Linked DNA regions of Elephas maximus indicus. The protein of the gene in region 1 purifies or fractionates together with the protein of each later gene. This does not show direct contact. Links are inferred from orthologs where the notes say so. Each region holds a gene or a part of one and is shown in the gene's direction. Other genes may lie near its edges.

Region 1 (7,396 bases):
ACCTAGCCAAGCTGACACACAACTCCAACCACCACACCTTGTCAGGGTTCCATATTCCTTATTTGCGTGGCCCCGCCCAATCATTGTGTGGAAGCCACAATGACTATGGCTAGAAGGGCTTTATTAAGTAATTTCCTGTACCTGAATCCCCATCCCCACCAAAGCACACACACATAAACCAAAAAATAGCAAACACTCCATTATCTAAATAATCTATCAGCATTTCACCATTTTTTAATTTTAAACTGGTTTACTGATAGATAAATCAACATTTTGACGAGAGTTCTCTGTTCTTAAAAAGGGAACCCCATTTTTGCATTTTTGTGTCACTTAGGCATTATTAATTATAAAATGAAAAGATCAAGAAATCAGCAACACTGAGGTCTGAGGCTTAATGTTTAAGATTATTTTAACTCTACTGAATTAAAGTTCTGAGTAGGGAATGAAAAAGGTAAAAAGAACAACCACTGAGCCCGTAGTATTTGCCAGGAGTCTGTTGTTTTCATTTGATCTTGTGAACTCTATTACAATTAAAAAAAAAAAAAAATTACAATAGCAGCTATCATTTTTTAGTGTATTATGTCAGGCACTGTGTTAGGGGATTTACATGTCTTCTCTCATTTAATCTTCACAGTAACTCCATAAAGTAAATGTTGCTCCCATATTAAAAATCATGAGAAGTCCTGGTGGCGCAGTGGTTAAAGTGATCAACTGTTAACCAAAAGGTTGGTGGTTCAAAACCAACAGTGGCTCTGTGGGAGAAAGATGTGACAGTGTGTTTCTGTAGAGATTTACAGCCTTAGAAACCCTACAGGTTTGATATGTTGGAATCGACTTGACAGTAGTGGGCTATATTAAAAATCAGAATACTGAGGCTGGAAAAAAGTTGAACCATTTGCCCTTGTTTCCAGATTGGGAAAATTGTAACATCAGGAAGAAAATTCAGGTTTGACTGAATGCAAGTGCCGTGTCCTTTCCAATCATTCATTTTTTAACTTTTTTTTTTTTTTTTAATTATAAAGTTATTCTTGCTGTTGTGAATGAGAGGGCACATGGAGAGGGGCTCCTGGGTGCTTGCAATGCTCCATGTCCTGATCTGGGTAGTGGTTACAGTTTGTGACAGTTCACTGAAGTGTTCACTTAACATTTGTCAAGCTTTCTGTTACACTTCCTATCTTATCTAGTGCTGCTATAACAGAAATATCTCAAATGGGTGGCTTTAACAAACAAATCTATGTTTTCACAGTTTGAGAGGCGAGAAGTCTCAGTTCAGGGTGCTGGCTTTAGGAGAAGGCTTTCTCTGTCAAGAAAGATCCTTGTCTCTTCTGAGCTTCTACTCCTTGGTGATCTTCACGTGGCTTGGTATCTATCTTCCACCATCTCTGCTTGGTCACTTGCTTTTTTAATCTGTATCTCCAAAGAGATTGATTTAAGACACGCCCTACAGTAATACTGTATCATTAACATAAGAAAACCCATTCCCAAACGGGATTATAACCACAGGTATACCAAGCCAAACCTGCTGCTGACGAGTCCATTCATAGCGACCCTATAGGACAGAGTAGAACTGTAGCACTTAACCACTGTGCCACCAAGGTTATAGGGATTACAATTTACGACACATATTTTTGGGGAATGCAATTCAATCCATAACACCTCCACAAAACGTTTATTTAAAAAAGGTAATTCATACTGAATACAGAAAATTCGAAAAGCACAGATAAACACAAACAAGAAAGAAAAAAAGAAAATTATTATTCCAAACTAATGGTTTCAGAAGTTGATTAGGTATACCTGTTGCCTTTGAGTAGATTCTCACTCACAGTGACCCTATAGGACAGAGTAGAACTGCCCCATCGGGTTTGCAAGGCTGTAAAACTACAGAAGTAGCCTGCCACATCTTTCTCCAGCAAGTGACTGGTGGGTTGGAACTGCCAGCCTTTTTGGTTGCAGCTGAGCTTTTAAGCATTGCACCACTACGGCCTCCCTGCTTCAGTATAACACCAAATCCACTGCTGTCAAGTCAATTTCAACTCGCAGTCCCTATACGACAGGGGAGAACTGCCCCACAGAGTTTCCAAGGAGCAGCTGGTGGATTTGAACTGCCAACCTTTTGGTTAGCAGCTATAGCACTTAACTACTACACCACCAGACTATCCTTCCTCCGTATAGGAGGAAATCATTCTCCTAAAACAATTCAAGGCAAAAGAACTGCAAGGGAAGACCTTTTTTTAAAAAAGTATTTTTTTTTTTTTGGTTAAAAAGAAATCGTATTATAGAAGTTTTTGGAAAATGAGAAAAGTAAAGTAAATTTTCTTTGTAATTCTACCTTAATATAATCACTTCTAATATTTTGGTACATTGAGTGAATGTCTCTTGCAAAAAGAAATGCTCATAATATTACAGAATTGATTTTGTGTGTACATAAGTCCTTAAAAAGCAAAAAGCTATAATAGTATTGTAAGCAATGTCACTACACTATGAGTTTAAACAGTGTTTTTATATATCTGTGATAGTCCAGGTTATGTTTAAATTTAATTATGTGTTATAGTCTGTTATTTATTGATTTAAAGGATTGTTGGACATGTTAGAGAAAAAGATAATTTTTAACATACAAAGTTCATAAAAACCACAAGATCGCTTAAATCACCCAGATGACAAAGCATGCTGTTATTCATAATTGTCCCCTTTGTGTTCTGGTAGGTCTAATAAGGAACACAAGAGGAGGCAATGAGCTAATGAAAAGATCACTAGAATAGCAGTCAGGAAATCTGGGTTTTACTTTTGGCTGTGCCACTTATTAAAGGCCTCATTGTGGAAAAGTCTCCTAGCCTCTCTGGGCTTTGGTTTCTTGGGCTGTAAAATGAGAGGATTAGCCTCTATCTCAAAGGACACTAAAAGTCAAAATAATTTATGACAGGGAATTTGGCCAGGGTTGGATGCATCTTTTATCATAATAAAGCAAAAACATGCAATAACTGTGGGAAGAGAGCTTGCCATGCCTTATTCGCAACCAGAATAAATACAATGTGTTTCCTGTCCTTCCCCCAAGGATTCATGGGAAGGGGTGGAGGACAGGATAGGGACAGGATGTCCTTCCCTTACATGTCACTCACCAGCCTATATCTTTACATTTTTTCATGGTCATCAGATCTCATATCGCAGACTTTCATCCCACAAAAGAATTAGAGATAACTTGTTAGAGTGACAGTACCGGGGCTCAATTACATTTTCATTTGTTAACAATTTTCGTTGTAGTGTGAATTTGTAGTCACATGACAGAGACTTTGGCGAAGAAAAACATTAAAAAGAAACTTTTAAAAGGAGAGGAACTCGGTGTACCTTTGGTAGGCTAATACTGTTGCCAGTTCGCAGGTGAATGGTGGAAGAAATTGGGAATGGGACAAAGGAAAAAAGAGAAGTGCCTGGATACCTAAAACAGCTTTAGGGAGCAGAAAGGGAATTTTGTTCTTTCAGGTAGTGTAGCTTTGACGTACTGTGAGAGTTGGTTATACATATGTCAATCTTTCTTTGATAATAGGAACTATGTCTTATTTATCTCTACATCCTCGGTGTGGGATATAACTAGTAATCTAGAATTTGTTGAATTGAGTAAAAAACCTGCGGGATAAGGTTAAGAAAAGCAGAACAAGATACCAGAAGCCTTGGATATCTGTAACTTTTACAGGACTTCAGTAGTTTTTCAGATGAGGTGTCAACAAACCAGGATTTGGAAAAGAGAAGCAGAAATTTGCTGCGCTGAGTACAGGAGGGAGGTGGCGAGAGCTTCTTAAAAGTGAAAAAGGATCAGGAAACAGGTCTGAACTTCCGAGTGAAAAAGAGGCAAAGCGACGGAGGTATGCAGATTGCCAGAGCTGAGGAGAGTCTAGGGTCAGAGAACCACCCAAGTCGGAGCCGAAGGGAACGGACTGGTCAGCTGGGTGGAGAACACCCGTCCAGGCGCGATCACGGTAGTTCGCTTTTGAGCTTGTTTCTTAACAGAACTACCAGGAAGCCCTAAAAGATGTGCAACTCTGGTATTTTTGGCGTGATAACTTCCGCGTGTGTATGTGTGTATGAAACAGGCAACGCCGCCCTAGAACTTCCGCATGCGACTGAGGCTGGAGCGCTGCCTACCGGCGCCCAACGCCGGCCCGAGAGGAAAGCGCCACTCCCCGTCCCGGCGGCCCCCATCTCCGCTGGCGGGACTCAGCCACACCCCGGCCCAGCCGCAGCCGGAAAGGCGGCCTCGCCGCGCTCGCCCTGCGCCGCGCTCCGCGACTACGTTTCCCAGCAAGCCCCGCGCCGCCCGCGCGCCGCAGTTGACCCATTTCCCGGCCCGTCACGGGCTCGGCGGCCCCGCGCCTAGGCGGCTGCTCTCTGCTGACGGGTGTGGGCGGGGAGCGGCGGAGGGAGGAGGAGGCGCTGCTGGCCGCCGCTGTTGCCTCCGGTGCTGGGCGCTTGGGCAGCTCCCCGGCTTCTGCGGCCGCCATGGACGAGCAGGCGGGTCCTGGCGTCTTCTTCAGCAACAACCACCCGGGCGCCGGTGGTGCCAAGGGGCTCGGGCCTCTGGCGGAGGCTGCCGTGGCCGGCGACGGGGCGGCCGCGGCGGGGGCAGCCCGAGCCCAGTACAGCCTCCCAGGAATCCTGCACTTCCTGCAGCACGAGTGGGCCCGCTTCGAGGTGGAGAGAGCCCAGTGGGAGGTGGAGCGGGCGGAGCTGCAGGTAAAGACCCTCCCGGCCTGGCCCACTTCATCCCGCCTCTTCGCTCCTTACCGCCCCGCCCCGGCCCCCTCCTTCCCCCGGCCCTCGCCTGTCCTCTCCGCCTTGCTCCCGCCCATCCCACCCGAACCTCGTCCCGGTCCTCCCCTCACCTTTGCCTTTCGCTGACCCCCGTTCCTTGACCTCAGTACCCACTCCCGCCCCTGGTGCGTTGTTTACCCTCCCCGCTGCTTTTCGCCTGCTGCTCCTCACTCATAACTCTCAGTCTCATTCGAACTCTCTTACTATCCTGCATCTTAGGTCATCCCTTTCAGTTTACTAATTGAGCTGACAGTAGTTTTGAGAGACCTCGAGCAAATCATCTATCCTGGTGTGTCCCATCCTGGGCTTAGGGATCTTCCCAGCAAAGGGTATTGGCACTTGGCTCCGCTCTCTGAAAAGAAGGGGATCAAAAAAGACAACAAGTTGTGTCATTAAGGCCTTGACTTCAGGCAAAAGTGTTATTAGAAATACTAACTTTTTTTAGATATGTAAATGTTTCTAGTCCACCCCCTCCTCCCTCCCCCGCATTTCTTTGAGATAGTTCACATTCATGGATTTTGAAGGAAGGATTTAGATGATCACAGTCAGATAGATGGTGGCTCAGAGATGGTTCCTGTTCTCAGAATCTAAAACTTTCCAAGGGCTAATTTTATTTGCATTGTTTTGTGAGATATCCCATAACTTTAAAAAGAACTACAGGGGCTTAAAAGTTGGTTACATTGCTTTTTGATGCATAGTCTGCAAGATAAGTATATCCAGGGAGGAGCGGTGGTGGCTTTTATAGTTGAATGAAAGTGAGGCGGATACTTTACAGGCCATTTTGAGTTGGTGAGTAGGCTTTCAGTGGCTGATCTTGAAAATTCCAAGACATACACAAATTTCACAAGGAGTTTAAAGAATTGTGAATGGCTGTACCTTTCAATTTTATAGGCTAATCCTGTCTGTTTACAAAACATGAATCTAGTTTTGGTTGGGGAAACACTTGAAGTTCACATGCCACCTAGTGTGTCACTTTGTTTGGTAACGTGCATTTTCTTTGGCACTTAAAGAAAAGGAGAAATCTATTAAATAGAACCATGTGCTGGAATGGTCTCCTTTGGTGTAGTGGAAGTGGCTTTGAGAAGAGGAGACAGGTTCTAGTACGAGCTGTGCTTACTACTGTGACCTTGAGGAAATCCTTTAACCACTTTTGGCTTCCTTTTCATAATTTATTCAGAGTATGTTTATTGAGCGCTGGCTATGTGATTCTAGGCCCAGGGATTAACAAGACCTACAAAGCCTCTACCTTCATGGAGTTTGCCTTTAATCAGGAGGCAGATGGGGGGGGTGGGGGGAGAGGGGCAAGAAGATGGCCTGTAGTGGCAACTACTATGAGGAAAAATAATTGGGATACAGAAATAGAGTGTGATGGGGTAGCTGTTTTAGATGGGGTGGTCTGGGAAGACTTCTCAGAGGAGATGACATATAAGCAGTTAAGTGAAGCAAGAGTGACTCCATTTCTACAATTCTGCTTTTACAGTTTCTACGGTTATATGTTTATATATTCTTTGTCAGCTTTTTCATCCCTACAGTATTTGGTCTTTTCGTGTTTGTTATTTTTATAATAATGAGTCTGACGGTATAAGTAATCAGCAGATTTGATTGCTTATACCATCACTTTTATTAGCAGTACAATCTGTAAATAAACCTGTGGATTTCAGACTTCAGGGGTGATTTAACTTTGATGTTGAAGAAAATAATTGTATGTAGCTGCTTAAATTTTAATTTATTTTTCAGTTTAGGGAATGTGAGATAAGTCAGACTAGTTCGGTCAGAAGCAATCAAGAAAACAATACTTTCCTTCCTACATGTAGAAGTTAGGGAACTTCCAACCCACCCCATCCTTTCCCCTCTCTCCTCCCCATTCCCCATGTCTACACTTTTTATCTGTGCTGTAGTCAATCTTTAAAAAAAAAAAAGGAGCCTTGGTTATACAGTGGTTAAGAGCTCTGCTGCTAATCAAAAGGTTGACAATTCAAATCTACCAGCTGCTCTTTGGAAACCCGATGGTTCTATGTTCTAGAGGATTGGTTGGAATTTACTCCACGGCAATGGGTTTTTTTTTTTTTTTGGTTTTGGTGGTCAATCTTAAAATTTAGACACAGACACAGAGACATATGTTTCTGGGTTATTTATGTCAAATGTTGAACTTTAGGTAAGTTTCCCCATAATCCCCATCATATTAAGGGTACAACTTTTACAGTATCTTCTGGTTCGTGGTCAGAGAACAGAAGTCTACTTAAATATCAAATTAAATTAAGCTTCTGCAGAGAAAATTTTAAACAGTGTCATTTTTTCAAACAGTATGTATTTGTAGGGAGGGGGGAGGGTTGGCAGGAATCTGTGGCCTGAGTCTCCCTTATTAGTATAATTGAAAGTGTTTCTTTCTTCAATTACCAACGTCACTAAATTTGAACATTTCCCTTTTGCCATTGGAATTTTCCTGGAAAAACAATAGGCTGTAAAAGAGTTGAATGAATTGCGATGAAATATGAAGCAGCTGATGTCTTTGTTTTAATTTTTAAATCTCTTCTCAAGCCATTAACATCAAAGTCAACAAAAATCACTTTAAGTCTAATTTGTCCCTTCAGGA
Region 2 (7,463 bases), on another chromosome or scaffold:
ATTGAAAAACTTGTTAGCTGACTGTTTCTCAAATTTGAGTAGCATATGGATCAATTTTTAAAGGAAAAATAATCCTGAAAGCTCTCCAATTACCGTTGAGTTGATTCTGACCCCAGGGAGACCCCTTATGTGTCAAAGTACACTTCTGCTCCACAGGGTTTTCATCAGCTGATTTTTTTGGAAGTAGATTGCTGGACCTTTCTTCTGAGGGTCTTCAGGGTAGACTTGAACCTCCAACCTTTCTTCTGAGGCTCTTCAGGGTAGACTTGAATCTCCAACCTTTCTTCTGAGGCTCTTCAGGGTAGACTTGAACCTCCAACCTTTCTTCTGAGGCTCTTCAGGGTAGACTTGAACCTCTAACCTTTCTTCTGAGGCTCTTCAGGGTAGACTTGAACCTCCAACCTTTCTTCTGAGGCTCTTCAGGGTAGACTTGAACCTCCAACCTTTCTTCTGAGGCTCTTCAGGGTAGACTTGAACCTCCAACCTTTCTTCTGAGGCTCTTCAGGGTGGACTTGAACCTCCAACCTTTCTTCTGAGGCTCTTCAGGGTGGACTTGAACCTCCAACCTTTCTTCTGAGGCTCTTCAGGGTGGACTTGAACCTCCAACCTTTCTTCTGAGGCTCTTCAGGGTGGACTTGAACCTCCAACCTTTCTTCTGAGGCTCTTCAGGGTGGACTTGAACCTCCAACCTTTCTTCTGAGGCTCTTCAGGGTGGACTTGAACCTCCAACCTTTCTTCTGAGGCTCTTCAGGGTGGACTTGAACCTCCAACCTTTCTTCTGAGGCTCTTCAGGGTGGACTTGAACCTCCAACCTTTCTTCTGAGGCTCTTCAGGGTGGACTTGAACCTCCAACCTTTCTTCTGAGGCTCTTCAGGGTAGACTTGAACCTCCCAACCTTTCTTCTGAGGCTCTTCAGGGTAGACTTGAACCTCTAACCTTTCTTTGAGGCTCTTCAGGGTAGATTTGAACCTCCAACCTTTCTGTTAGCAGCTAAGTGCATTCACCATTCGCACTACCCAGGGACTCCTGAAACAGTCAGATTATTTTTATTACGATGTTACTTAAATTTACAAATACAAACTGGGCTATATAAAGTCCTTTTATGTATAGTTCTTATACAACTAAAAAAAGCAAAGCAGATTAAATACACATGAAACTACAAAAAGAATACCGTCCATATTAGTAACATTATAGTAATTTGACAGATGATGCTGTTTTGCTGGAATTAAACCATCCTTTGTGTAGTGACTATGGTATTGCCTGTCAAAACTCAGTATCTTTCGAGTTCAACATGCCTGTACCACCAAGTGACTTCTGATATCTCAATTTTCTCATGACTTTTCTTCCTTAAAACTACTGAGACAGTGCAGTCCCATGATGTCATTTGGCTTTCATTTTGTGTAGGAAAGCATCATTTTCATTTTAAATCCAGCACTGTGTTTTCTCAATATCCTGGAACAATAATAAGCAGCGATGAAACACACATGCAAATGCAGGGACTGAAGCTGTGTGGTAATACTAAGTTATAAAAGTGGACATCCAAATAATCCAGAATATGTTTATGCAAATCTAAAAAACTTATCAAAGTGAAAACAAAATTAAACCCTAGAATACATCCCCAGACCTAATTTGAGAAATACGGTTCAGGTTCATTGGTTCCCAAACTTTCACTATTGCCAAACACCCTATCTACTGTTTACCTTCAGGAATTCTGTTTTAAAAAAGAAGTCACCTAAATTGCATTTATTAATACTTTACATTTTTATTATTCAGACACATAAAATTACTATTATAGAGCTTTTGATCAGCATATGTAGTTATCTCTTAAATTCCAGTCCAAAATCACAACAGCAAAAAAAGACAGGACCTTCTAGCTATTTTGTACTGCCCTTACAAGGGGAAGGAAACCCTGGTGGTATAATGGGTAAGTGCTACAGCTGCTAACCAAAAGGTCGGCAGTTTGAATTCACCAGGCGCTCCCTGGAAACTCTGTGGGGCAGTTCTACACGCTCTGAGTTGGAATTGACTCGACAGCAGTGGGTTTGGGTTTACGACAGCAAATGAAAACTTTACATTAGGTTTTGTAACACACAGACCATCCGCCCCCCTCACGCCTCCATCCCGTTGCTGCCATTGAGGACTCCTGGAGGCGTACCGAGGCAAACCAAAAAAACCCAAACCCGTTGCTGTCGAATGGATTCCAACTCATGGCGACCCCAAAGAACAGAGTAGAACTGCCCCATAGGGCTTCCAAGGAGTGCCTGGTGGATTCAAACTGCGGACCTTTTGGTTAGCAGCTGTAGCTCTTAACCACTCCACCGCCAGGGTTTCCTTACGGAGGCCAGTGTAGGCTCTTTTTGTACAAGGAAATTAGCCACTCCACCCAATTTGGAATGATTAAGGCTTGTCCTGGTTGCGCTTGCTTGTTTTACTTACACCGTGCTAAAAAAGATAGGATAAATATAACAGAAGGCATCATTCCAGTACCAAGACTGAAAAGAAACACAAAAACAAGAGAGCAGCATGTTTTTAACAGCTTGCGTGGATAAAGTGGAAAAAATATTGACTGGTGAGTTTAGACAGCACTGTTCATTTTCTCTCTCCGCCTGCGTTATTTGTCTTTTGGAGCAGAAGCCAGATACACTAATTCTGGCGGGGAGGCGCCAAGTCCTTCTTCCCCTAGGCCCGGGGCCCTCTCTTGGGCCGGCCCTATGCCTCGGAGGGCACGGTCGGCCTCGGAGGGCACGGTAGGCCTCGGAGGGCACAGTCGGCCTCGGAGCGCACGGTCGGCCTCGGAGGGCACGGTCGGCCTCGGAGGGCACGGTCGGCCTCGGAGGGCACGGTCGGCCTCGGAGCGCACGGTCGGCCTCGGAGGGCACGGTCGGCCTCGGAGCGCACGGTCGGCCTCGGAGCGCACGGTCGGCCTCGGAGGGCACGGTCGGCCTCGGAGCGCACGGTAGCCCTCGGAGGGCACGGTCGGCCTCGGAGGGCACGGTAGCCCTCGGAGGGCACGGTCGGCCTCGGAGGGCACGGTAGCCCTCGGAGGGCACGGTCGGCCTCGGAGGGCACGGTAGCCCTCGGAGGGCACGGTCGGCCTCGGAGCGCACGGTAGCCCTCGGAGGGCACGGTCGGCCTCGGAGCGCACGGTAGCCCTCGGAGGGCACGGTCGGCCTCGGAGCGCACGGTAGGCCTCGGAGCGCACGGTAGCCCTCGGAGGGCACGGTCGGCCTCGGAGGGCACGGTCGGCCTCGGAGCGCACGGTAGCCCTCGGAGGGCACGGTCGGCCTCGGAGCGCACGGTCGGCCTCGGAGGGCACGGTCGGCCTCGGAGCGCACGGTCGGCCTCGGAGCGCACGGTCGGCCTCGGAGCGCACGGTCGGCCTCGGAGGGCACGGTCGGCCTCGGAGCGCACGGTAGCCCTCGGAGGGCACGGTCGGCCGCGGAGGGCACGGTCGGCCTCGGAGCGCACGGTAGCCCTCGGAGGGCACGGTCGGCCTCGGAGCGCACGGTCGGCCTCGGAGGGCACGGTCGGCCTCGGAGCGCACGGTAGCCCTCGGAGGGCACGGTCGGCCTCGGAGGGCACGGTAGCCCTCGGAGGGCACGGTCGGCCTCGGAGGGCACGGTCGGCCTCGGAGGGCACGGTCGGCCTCGGAGCGCACGGTCGGCCTCGGAGGGCACGGTCGGCCTCGGAGCGCACGGTAGCCCTCGGAGGGCACGGTCGGCCTCGGAGCGCACGGTCGGCCTCGGAGGGCACGGTCGGCCTCGGAGCGCACGGTAGCCCTCGGAGGGCACGGTCGGCCTCGGAGGGCACGGTAGCCCTCGGAGGGCACGGTCGGCCTCGGAGGGCACGGTCGGCCTCGGAGGGCACGGTCGGCCTCGGAGCGCACGGTCGGCCTCGGAGGGCACGGTTGGCCTCGGAGGGCACGGTCGGCCTCGGAGCGCACGGTGCGGATCGCTCAGAGGGGTAGGTCCCTGGTCACTTCAGATCACAAGTAGGGTGAATCCCTGCCCCTGCTTCTTTCGGCTGTAATGGCACTCTCAGCCCAACCTTGCCACAACTGGGGTCGGCCGGAGACCTCCACCATCTGAAGAGCGACTGGCTTCCCCGCCTCCACTGTGCACGCGCGCGGGCCTTAGCCCCGCCTCCCTGGACTTGGGGCGTGGCTTGTTATGGGAGGGCGTGGCTTGTCGCGGGAGGGCTGGGCTTGGTGCGGGAGGGCGTGGCTTGGTGCGGGGCGGCGTGCTTGGCGCGGGGCGAGGAAGGGCCTGGACACGGAGCTGGCGGCGGCGACCCGCGGAAGAAGGGAAAACATGGCGGGCGCGGTGGGGTCCGTCAGCGGCTTGGGGGCAGCGGGCGGAGACCTCCACCACCTGAAGAGCGACTCGCTTCCCCGCCTCCACTGAGCCCGCGCGAGCCTTAGCCCCGCCTCCCTGGCCGCGGGGCGTGGCTTGGTGCGGGTGGGCGTGGTTTGGCGCGGGGCGAGGAGGGGCCTGGACACTGAGCTGGCGGCGGCGACCCGCGGAAGAAGGGAAAACATGGCGGGCGCGGCGGGGCCCGGTAGCGGCTCGGGGGCAGCGGGCGGAGACGGAGACGATTCGCTCTACCCGATCGCGGTTTTAATCGACGAGCTCCGCAATGAGGACGTGCAGGTACTGGCTCGGGCTGCGAAGCTGAGGTGGGCCCGGCCGGGCGCGTGGTAGGGAAGCCGGAGGCCGGCGCCGCTGTGGGGGAGGCCCGGACGTTGAGAAAGCCGGGTTTGGAGCAGAAGCTTGAGGGGGAGCAGAGAAGAGACCGGCGAGAGGTTGCGGCGTCCCCGCCCGACCCTCCCGGGGGCGTCTCCGATACCCTTCCTCAAGGACGTCGGCCCGGCCCCCGCCGCATCCGGGGCTGCTGTCGGAGAATCGGCTCCCAGCCTGGGCGCCCCTTCCGGGCGGTGCGGCGGGCGGGCGGTGCGGCGGGCGGGCGGTGCGGCGGGCGGGCGGTGCGGCGGGGGCCGGGGGCCGCCGTCCTCGGTGACCCGCCGTCCTCGGTGACCCGCCGTCCTCGGTGACCCGCCGTCCTCGGTGACCCGCCAGCGGCAGAGGCCGGAGCGGGGGCGGGCGCAGGACGCCGGCGGCCCTCCGACGTGCTGGTGAGATACCTGCGGATAGAAGGAGGGCTGGTGGCCGATAACCTAGGTGAGTCCGGGCATCACCCCTGATGGGCCTGTCTTTGAAAAAAGTCCGAGGTTGTATTCAGCCGTTTCACCTGCTTCGCTGCTGCCAGAGTTCTCATTTGTAAAAGTTATATCACTTCCTGGATACTGTGTTCTCTTTTATTCCTTTCTTTTCTGGGCTCTTCAGGCGGTTTCTCCTAGGAAATCTTCCTCTGCCGAATGATGCTGTGAACGGCACCTGAGGTTCCTCACAGGATAAAATCTAAGTTAAGGTTTCCTTTTTTCTTACCTGTATCTTCTTGTACTCACCTGTTTGCCGCCTGTTTGTCTTTTGGTCTAAATTGCAACCGTTTATTTTGTTCTGTCCACTTTCTTTGTTATAGCTCCGTCTTAACAGTATTAAGAAGTTATCAACAATTGCTTTAGCACTTGGAGTAGAAAGAACTAGAACTGAACTGCTGCCATTCCTTACTGGTATGTGAATCTTTGAATTTTTTTTTTTAAGTCTTTGTTTAAAACTATTTTCCAGTGGTTTTCAAAACTTTGACTTTTTCTTAGGGTTCGTTAACGGCAGTATTATTAAATACAAAACTGAGCCTAGTGCTTTCTATGCAAAAGAAGCAGAACAAAGTATAATATTGTGTCCAGACGTATTCAAACATTAACTATTTAACTAATAGGAAAATACTCGCTACGGGAGTATGAATTTCTAATTCATTTGTAAAACAGATCTAGGACTAGGAGACCCTGAGGAAAGGAGACCCTGTTAGGATTGTGACTTGGCCATCTTAAAAAAAAAAAATCCCCCAAATCCCATGTGATCAAGTCGATTTCGACTCATAGCAACCCTATAGGACAGAGTAGAGCTGCCGCATATGGTTTCCAAGGCTGTAAATCTTTATTGAATCAGCCTGCCACATCTTTCTCCTGCAGAGTGGCTGGGTGGGTTTGAACTATCAACCTTTCGATTTGCAGCTGAGTGTTTAACCACTGTGTTTAACCACTGCAGCACCAGAGCTCCTTGATAGCTACATATTGAATCTTTTCCTAGTTTTTTGTGAGTGTCCAGCTGGGCCAGCTCTCCTTATTGATGAGTACCCTATTGCCTTATGTAGATACAATCTATGATGAAGATGAGGTACTGCTAGCTCTTGCTGAGCAGCTGGGAAATTTTACTGGCCTTGTGGGAGGTCCTGACTTTGCCCACTGTCTGCTGGTAAGTACTTATATGCTGCTTTCCCTCCTTGTAGGACTTCTGAAGTATAATTGTTTGGCGATAGCCCCATTCCAGCACTGTGTGTAGTCTCTTAGGAAATTTAGATTATGATCTTTTTATGGGCAGATAGTCATAATGTTAGCTAGCCATCGAGAGAACAAATAATGTAGGCGTTCTGAACTCAGTTAACCCTTTTTTTCCTCACTGTTAATACAACTCCTACCACTTTCCTGCCTCTATAACCTTACTAGTTTAGAGGTGGGAAGAAAAAGGATTTGATTTTTTTTTAAAACGTAATCACAGTATATGCTCATTTTTTCTTTTGTTGTGGTAAAGTGCACATAAACTTCACGATTTTAACCATTTTAAGATGTACAATTTAGTGGTATTTAGTGCATTCAGAATGTTGTGACACTATTACCACTGTCTAGTTCTAGAACATTTTCATTATCCCAAATGGAAACCTCATACCCATTAAGAGACACCCTTCTTTCTGTTCTCCCTCCAGTCCGTGGCAACCACTAACCTGCTTTCTATGAATTTGTCTATTCTAGATATTTCATAGAAATGGAATCATACAATATGTGGTGTTTTGTGACTGGCTTCTTTCACTTAACATAATTTTTTCAAGGTTCAGCATGTTGTAGTGTGTATCAGTACTTCATTCCTTATTATGGCTAAATAATGTTGTTTTATGGATATATATGCCATCTTTTGTTTCTCCATCAGTTACTGAACTTTTGGGTTGTTTCCACCTTGTGACTGTTGACAATGCTGCTATGAACATTCGTGTACAAGTTTTTACTTCAACACTTTTTTTCAATTCTTTGGGGTATATACATAGGAGTGGAATTGCTGGATGATTCTGTATGTAACTTTTTGAGGAACTACCAAACCGTTTTCCATGGCAGCTGCAAACATTTTACATTCCCGCCAGTAGTGTATAAGGTTTCAACTTTCTTCATATTTTTTCCAATGCTCCTTGTTTTCTTTTTAAATTATAGCCATCCTACTGGATATGACATGGTATCTGTTGTAATTTTGATTTGCATTTCTTGATTGTTTTTGTTTATTTTTTTCCCCTGAAATTGG
Region 3 (6,875 bases), on another chromosome or scaffold:
CTCCTATCTGGAGGAGAGATGAGGGGGCAGAGGGGGTCAGAAGCTGGCACAGTGCACACAAAAAGAGAGAGTGGAGGGAAGGAGTGTGCTGTGTAATTAAGGGGAGAGCAATTAGGAGTACATAGCAAGGTGTATATATATTTTTGTATGAGAGACTGACTTGATTTGTAAACTTTCACTTAAAGCACAATAAAAATTAAAAAAAAAAAAAAAAGGTACCATCTTTATAATAAAACATCTCATGCCTGGAATCTGCAACTCCTAACTGGTCTTCCTGCTTCTACTCTTGTCCCCTTAAAAATGTACTCTCCCCCAAACAGCCAGAATGATCTTTAAAAACCACATAATTCAGACTCAAACCTTAAAACTTTTCATAGCTTCCCATTTGTTATGGATTGAATTGTGTCCCCCCAAAATACGTGTTGTAAATCCTAACTTCTATGCCTGTGATTATAATCCCATTCAGGAACTGGCTGTCTTTGCTATATTCATGAGGCAGGATTAGTGTAGAATGGATCTTGAGTCAGTCTCTTTTGAGATATAAAAAGAGACTAAACAATCGAGCAGAGAAAAAGACGGAGGAAAGACTGATGCCAAGCCACAGGGAGATCTCCAAGGAATCAGGAAACAGGAGCTGAAGAGAGGAGAACCCACCCCTCCCCAGAGATGACAAGAAAGCCTACCATTAGGGTCAGCACCCTGAATTCAGACTTCTAGCCTCCTAAACTCTGAGAAAATAAATTTTTTGTTAAAGCTACCCAATTGTAGTATTTCTGTTATAACAGCACTAAACGACTAAGACACCACTGCAGTGAAAATACAGTTTAATCTGCTTACCTTAATCTACAAAGGCAATGATCTGTCCTCTCCCTACTCCACCATTCTCACCACACCACTCACCCCTTTGCCCACTGAGCTCCAGGTACACAGGCCTTTCTGTTCCACAGACTCACCAAGTTCACTTCCAGCCCAGCTGTTTCCTCTGTTAGGAAGGCTCTCCCTGGCATTTCACAGAGACAGTTTGGTTTCCTCCTATCTTTCACATCTCACTTTCTTAAGCGTCATCTCCTCATAGAAGTCTTAATAGGCACCCAGTCCCTCACTCTGACATCCTCTTTACATTTTCTCCATGACACATGTTTATTTATTGTTTCAGCCCATTTCAACTTCCTGAGAGAGTCCGGGGATGGAGAACACAATAAGCAAGGTAAGCACAGGCTTACTTCTGCATACTTACTAATCTGTAGTGACCAATTTCACATGGGTTTCATGGTGAAATCCGTATGAAATTGGTCACTAAAACAACACAAAAAACCCACCACCCTTCCGGGGTCTTAGGTGCTAACAAGTGGCCATCTAAGATGCATCAATTAGTCTCAAACCACCTGGAACAAAGGAGAATGAAGAACAAAGACAAGGAAATTATGAGCCCAAGAGACAGAAAGGGCCACATAAACTGGACACTACATTAGCCTGAGACCAGAAGAACTAGATGGTGCTTGGCTACAGCCGATGATTGCCCTGACAGGGAACAGAACAGAGAAACCAAGAGAACAGGTGAGCAGTGGGATGCAGACCCCAAATTCTTATAAAAAGACCAGACTTAATCATCTGACTGAGACTAGAAGGACCCTGGAGGTCATGGTCCCCAGACCTTCTGTTAGCCCAAGACAGGAAAGATTCCCAAAACCAACTCTTCAGACAGGGATTGGACTGGACTATGGGATAGAAAATGATACTGGTGAGGAAATGTGCTTCTTGGATCAAGTAGACACATGAGACTATGTTGGCATCTCCTGTCTGAAGTGGAGATAATAGGGCAGAGGGGGTCAGAAGGTGGCTGAATGGACATGAAAGAGAGAGCGGAGAAAAGCAGTGTGCTGTCTCATTACGGGGAGAGCAACTATCAGTATATAGCAAAGTGTATATAAATTTTCATATGAGAGACTGACTTGATTTGCAAACTTTCACTTAAAGCACACACACACACAAAAAAAACCACCACCGTTGAGTCGCTCCCGACTCATAGAGGCCCTATAGGACAGAGTAGAACTGCCCCACAGTTTCCAAGAAGCGTCTAGTGGATTTGAACTGCCAACCTTTTGGTTAGCAACCGTAGCACTTTAACCACTAAGCCACCAGGATTTCCGAAATTGGTCACTGCAGATTAATAAATGCGCCCAGTAAGCACAGTGCTTACCTCCCTATTGGACACTCCGCCCCTGAGAGAGTCCCACGCAGTACCCGCACATAGTAAGGGATGGATAAACGTTTGTTGAATAAACGGATGAGAACAATTTGGAGGCTACCGCACAAACACAGACTTAATTACCTGTGCCAAAACTCACGAGAGGGCCACACGGTCCCCCAACCCCGTTCTTTCCTGGCTACAGCCAAGAGCTCGAGATTCCGGGGATTCCGGTTGGTGAACTCCGGGGCAACGGCTTCATTATCCACAGGGTCCACTTCAGGCTTCACCACTGCTTTGGAACTGGTTGAGAGGGCTGCAAACCCAAACTCTAAAAAATGGACACAACCATACTTACCTAAGCCTAATATTAACAAATCAGGAATATGATCTGACCTCTATCCCCAATCGCTCCCCCAATCTTCCCGCCCTGTTAGAAGAACGAAATACGTTTGATCAATGAATCCTTAATCTTTCACTATTTTCATCATAATGGTATTAGCTTGATTACTTTTCGAAGGTGGATACAGAGTAAAAAATGCGATTTGCATATCTACGTTTATTGTGAAGACTCTGGGGAGTGATCTGAGAAAAATGGGGCAAAATTAGTTACCGGGGTTTCTGCAAACCGACAAAGCCCAGAACCGCGACCGAAGCGCCATCGCTGAGGGACCTCAAGCAAAGCCTCAGAAAAGCCTCGCCTCCTGCTCCTTGCAGGCGTCTCAGCGGTCCGCGGCCGCAGCCATATCCACTTGAGAGGTTGAGGCCGGTGGAGGTCATCAATTCTCAACGTGAGCCTCTCTCGCCCCCGGAACTAACAAACCTCTGCAGTTGAGTGGTCGAGAGGGCCATCTGTCATGTCAGTTTCTCCAATCACCGCTTACGTTTAGACGCACGCAGGCATGTAACGGACCAACCATTTCGCAGGAACGCATTAGTGGGTGGGGCACTATGTGAGGGAAACGCTTCATGTGTCTTCAGCATTAACATTCCATCTCCGTTCCCGGCTTGCGAAGCTGGTTGCGGTCGGGCCAAGGAGCTTCCAGCTTCGAGGTAGCCCCTAACTTCACATTCCCACATTTGGGAGCTTTAGTCGCAAAGCTTAGACCAACTATTGTCGGCTCCGCACACATCCCACCTGGGCACTGAGGAAATGAGGCCGGGCAAGATTACAATTCCCTGGTTTAAAACGGGTGGTTGCCTTCCTCTAGCTACAGTTTCTCCCGTAATACGTATAAGCCTTGTAGGATGCCTGTCGCGTTCTACCGAGGTTCAGGCCCCAAGGCCATAACTTAAGCGCTCTAGAACGAAACCTGGCCGACCTGCCCCGTGCTCCCTGAGCCCCATCGACAAGGGAGCAGAACAAAAAAGAGAGCACGAGGCTAGGACGTAGGATGGCCCCCTGCTGCCACACCCCCACTCCAAACTCCGCCTTGCCGGCCATCTTTTCTAGAAGCCGCTAGAATGTCCCAACTCGCATGCGCAACCGTGCCGCGGGTGAGCGCTCACCCGAGCACCTCCTCCCTCCAGAGGCCCAGGAATCTGACTTCCGCTCCCCGACCTTCGCGCCCTTCTCATCCGCACTCTAATTGGACAAAAATGCTGACACGCCTTTGTGTACGCCCTCTTCTTGTTCCCCACTTCCGGCATATTAACCCTCCTCTTCCCCCGAGCCCTTCTCTTTTTCCCGGCCTGCCCCGCGGCCGGGCCGGGGGAGCTGGGAAGCGCGGCGGGCGCTGTTACCCAGCAGTCCCCGCGGCGTTGGTCGGGTAGGTGCACGCCGTCGCCGCTGTCTGCCCAGGGAACGAGAGACTAGTCTCCCGCGGTGTGAGAGGAACGTGTGCCCTGCTGCGAGGATGGAGGGACCGTTGTCCGTGTTCGGGGACCGCAGCACCGGGGAGGCGATCCGCTCCCAGAACGGTAAGGGCGGCGAGGCCTGGTCGAGCCGAGCCTCAGCCCTGGGCCCGCGGCTGCCCTGCTCTCATCTCGCCGCCTCCCCTACCCCCAGAAAAGAGGCGTTGGGGCTTCTTTGGCGGGGTCCCGTCGGCTGTCGTCGCCGCTTTTGGGCGGGCAGCAGCGCCCTCTCGCCGAAGGGGAAGCATCCTGGAGAGAGCAGCACGCCGTGAGAGCTGCGCCGGCTGGGCGGGGAGGCCGGGGCCGGGAAAGCGGGAAGGAGCGTCTTCCTCAGCCCTGGGGCTCGCCTTTACAGATAAACAAATGGCCGCAGGGCATAGGTGGCACGCCGGTTGTAGCGCCCCGGCTCTCGTCTGCAGCGGATGCCGGTCCCCGACCTCCAGATCCGGTCGTTACCTCGCTTATCGCTGATGGCGTCCCGTAATAAAATCAGCTGGCGAAGTTGGAATTGTATGTTAGTGTTCTTCGTCCCGAAATAATTAGGGAAGGCGATTCCTGGGTGACTAGTAAACGTGGATATGCTTTATGTTAGTCAAAGCTGTTGTTGCTGTTCCTGAGCTTGTTTTGAAAACGTTTTTGTAGGTTCCTAATTTTTTGGGCGAATTTGAAGTAAAATCACTGTTTTTTCATTCCATTACAGCTTTTTTAGTTCCTGGTAAAGAGACTGCTAATGTAATTTTTCCTGCCCTAAAAGGTGTCAGGATCTGAAGGAAAGGGTGATGTATAGTTACAGTGTGTGGAGTGGTAGAACATAAAACTGACCAGTAAATTGCTTTTTTAATTCTAGAAGGGAGCAAAAGGATTATTCTTTTAAAGATTTTGCATCCCTTTTATAAGTATATCCAAAATGAATTTTCCGAGATTCCCCCACCCATCAGGTTTTTAACAGAGAAGATTCGTGAATTTGGGGAAGTTTAGTTTACTCGGGCTGAAATGATTGCTTTTGGAGTTGTAGGTTTTTCTAATTGTGCTTCTTTTTCCATTGATTGACCACAGTTATGGCTGCAGCTTCTATTGCCAATATCGTAAAAAGTTCTCTTGGTCCAGTTGGCTTGGATAAAATGTTGGTGGATGACATTGGCGTAAGTACGACTATTGTGTTCATGTTATTGTGAAGAAAAATAAGAGTTCTTAAAGTTTTGCTGCATCAATTTTTTTTATCAAAACCTTGGTATTTGAAGATGTAAAAGGTGAGCATGTATTATAATGGGGCTGTGTTAATTTGAAACCAAACTTGTTTCGGTCGAGTTGATTCTGACTCATAGCAACCCTATAGGACAGAGTAGAACTAACTGCCCCGTAGAGTTTCCAAGGAGCACCTGGTGAATTCGAACTGCCGACCTTTTGGTTAGCAGCTGTAGCACTTAACCACTCCACCCTGAGGGTTTCCTGTATTAATTTAGGGGCTATCTGTTTTCTCCCCCCGTTATTAGGATGTAACCATCACTAACGATGGTGCAACTATTCTGAAGTTACTGGAGGTAGAACATCCTGCAGCTAAGGTTCTTTGTGAGCTGGCCGATCTTCAGGACAAAGAAGTTGGAGATGGAACTACTTCGGTGGTAGGTACTCGTCTAGTAGGGTGGCAAAACATCTGCATTTTTAATGTTGGTTTTTGAAAGTTTTGACAGTATTCATACATCACACAAGGGTTTTATCTGTCCCCCCAACCTTCTTCCTGTATCTTTTTTTTTTCCCATTTGACTACCACTTTAGATCTTAATAGTAGATCTTAGCGGTTATGCTTGTGGGATAGATTAAAATTGCCGTGATCTGAAGAGGGAGGATTTTTTGTGTCCTTCTTCTATATGAAATGGCTGTACAGAAAATTAGTGACATTTATGAACTTTGTCTTTATGATTACCTAGTGAGAAAAATGTTACTTATGTATTTTTCAAGTTTATATTTTAGAGGTTGACAGTCTCAGGATTTTAAAATGGAAATGTGAGAAGTTAATGTACCACAGTATGACGGTGATAGAAAAAATCAGTAGACGCGATTAATAAGGTGATGTAAATAAACTTCTCGAAGACCATCCAGCACACTGGTGTAGTAGAAACACTGTTGTTTGATGAGGAGGATATTAATTCTAGCAAAATAAGAGGTAGTTTATGGGAGGGGACAGGGGAGAGTTAGTATTTATGGATTAATCTTTTAACCCTGAAAGAATAATCTCTTGAAATAATGAAAATAGTGTTTTATCTGAGTAATTTGTTTTATGGTGATGTCTCTAACAACATAGTTTACAAAAATCAAGTAGACAGGATTTTTTTTTTTTTTTTTACATGAAGGTTTACAGAACAAACTAGTTTCTCATTAAACAGCACACATAGTGTATTATGACATTGGTTAAAAACCCCACAAATGGCAACACTCTTCCTTCTCAACGTCGGGTTCCCCGTTACCAGCTTTCCTGTTACCTCCTGCCCTCTAGTCCTTGCCCCTGGGCCTAAGTGCCCCTTCAGTCTTGTTCTGTTTTATGGGCCTGTGCAGTCTTTGCCTGGAGGTTAAATCTGAGGAGTAACTACATTACTGAGCTGAAAGGATTTCCGGGGGCCGTACTCAGGGTTTCTCCAGTCTGTCAGGCCAGATCAGGCTTTTTTTTTGTTGTTGTTGTTGTTCTTTAAGTGAAAGTTTACAAATCAAGCTAGTCTTTCATACAAAAATTTATATGCACCATGCTATATACTCGTAGTTGCTGTCCTCCTAATGAGACAGCAACTCCTTTCCAGTCCCTATTTTCACTGACAGGATTTTTTTTTTAAGTTTCTGG

What was found. Proteins that work in one complex are often made in the same cells at the same time.
Region 2: the proteins of STRN (region 1) and PPP2R1B purify together in Homo sapiens (affinity purification with mass spectrometry; 5 studies listed by BioGRID and IntAct, with this or other methods). This does not show direct contact. The link is inferred for Elephas maximus indicus from reciprocal best matches to the Homo sapiens genes STRN and PPP2R1B.
Region 3: the proteins of STRN (region 1) and TCP1 purify together in Homo sapiens (affinity purification with mass spectrometry; 3 studies listed by BioGRID and IntAct, with this or other methods). This does not show direct contact. The link is inferred for Elephas maximus indicus from reciprocal best matches to the Homo sapiens genes STRN and TCP1.

Annotation. Positions count from the first base shown.
Region 1 is NC_064844.1:27,388,968-27,396,363, forward strand, and holds the start of STRN (striatin), read left to right. Parts: upstream 1-4,396; 5' UTR 4,397-4,491; coding exon 4,492-4,725; intron 4,726-7,396. UniProt on the Homo sapiens protein: Calmodulin-binding scaffolding protein which is the center of the striatin-interacting phosphatase and kinase (STRIPAK) complexes.
Region 2 is NC_064825.1:7,146,437-7,153,899, forward strand, and holds the start of PPP2R1B (serine/threonine-protein phosphatase 2A 65 kDa regulatory subunit A beta isoform), read left to right. Parts: upstream 1-4,459; 5' UTR 4,460-4,535; coding exon 4,536-4,649; intron 4,650-5,538; coding exon 5,539-5,629; intron 5,630-6,270; coding exon 6,271-6,371; intron 6,372-7,463. UniProt on the Homo sapiens protein: The PR65 subunit of protein phosphatase 2A serves as a scaffolding molecule to coordinate the assembly of the catalytic subunit and a variable regulatory B subunit.
Region 3 is NC_064819.1:232,164,030-232,170,904, reverse strand, and holds the start of TCP1 (T-complex protein 1 subunit alpha), read left to right. Parts: upstream 1-3,871; 5' UTR 3,872-4,044; coding exon 4,045-4,108; intron 4,109-5,098; coding exon 5,099-5,184; intron 5,185-5,535; coding exon 5,536-5,664; intron 5,665-5,794; exon of another isoform or gene 5,795-5,933; intron 5,934-6,875. Other genes in the region: MRPL18 (39S ribosomal protein L18, mitochondrial), read right to left, coding at 2,333-2,519, 2,802-2,850. UniProt on the Homo sapiens protein: Component of the chaperonin-containing T-complex (TRiC), a molecular chaperone complex that assists the folding of actin, tubulin and other proteins upon ATP hydrolysis.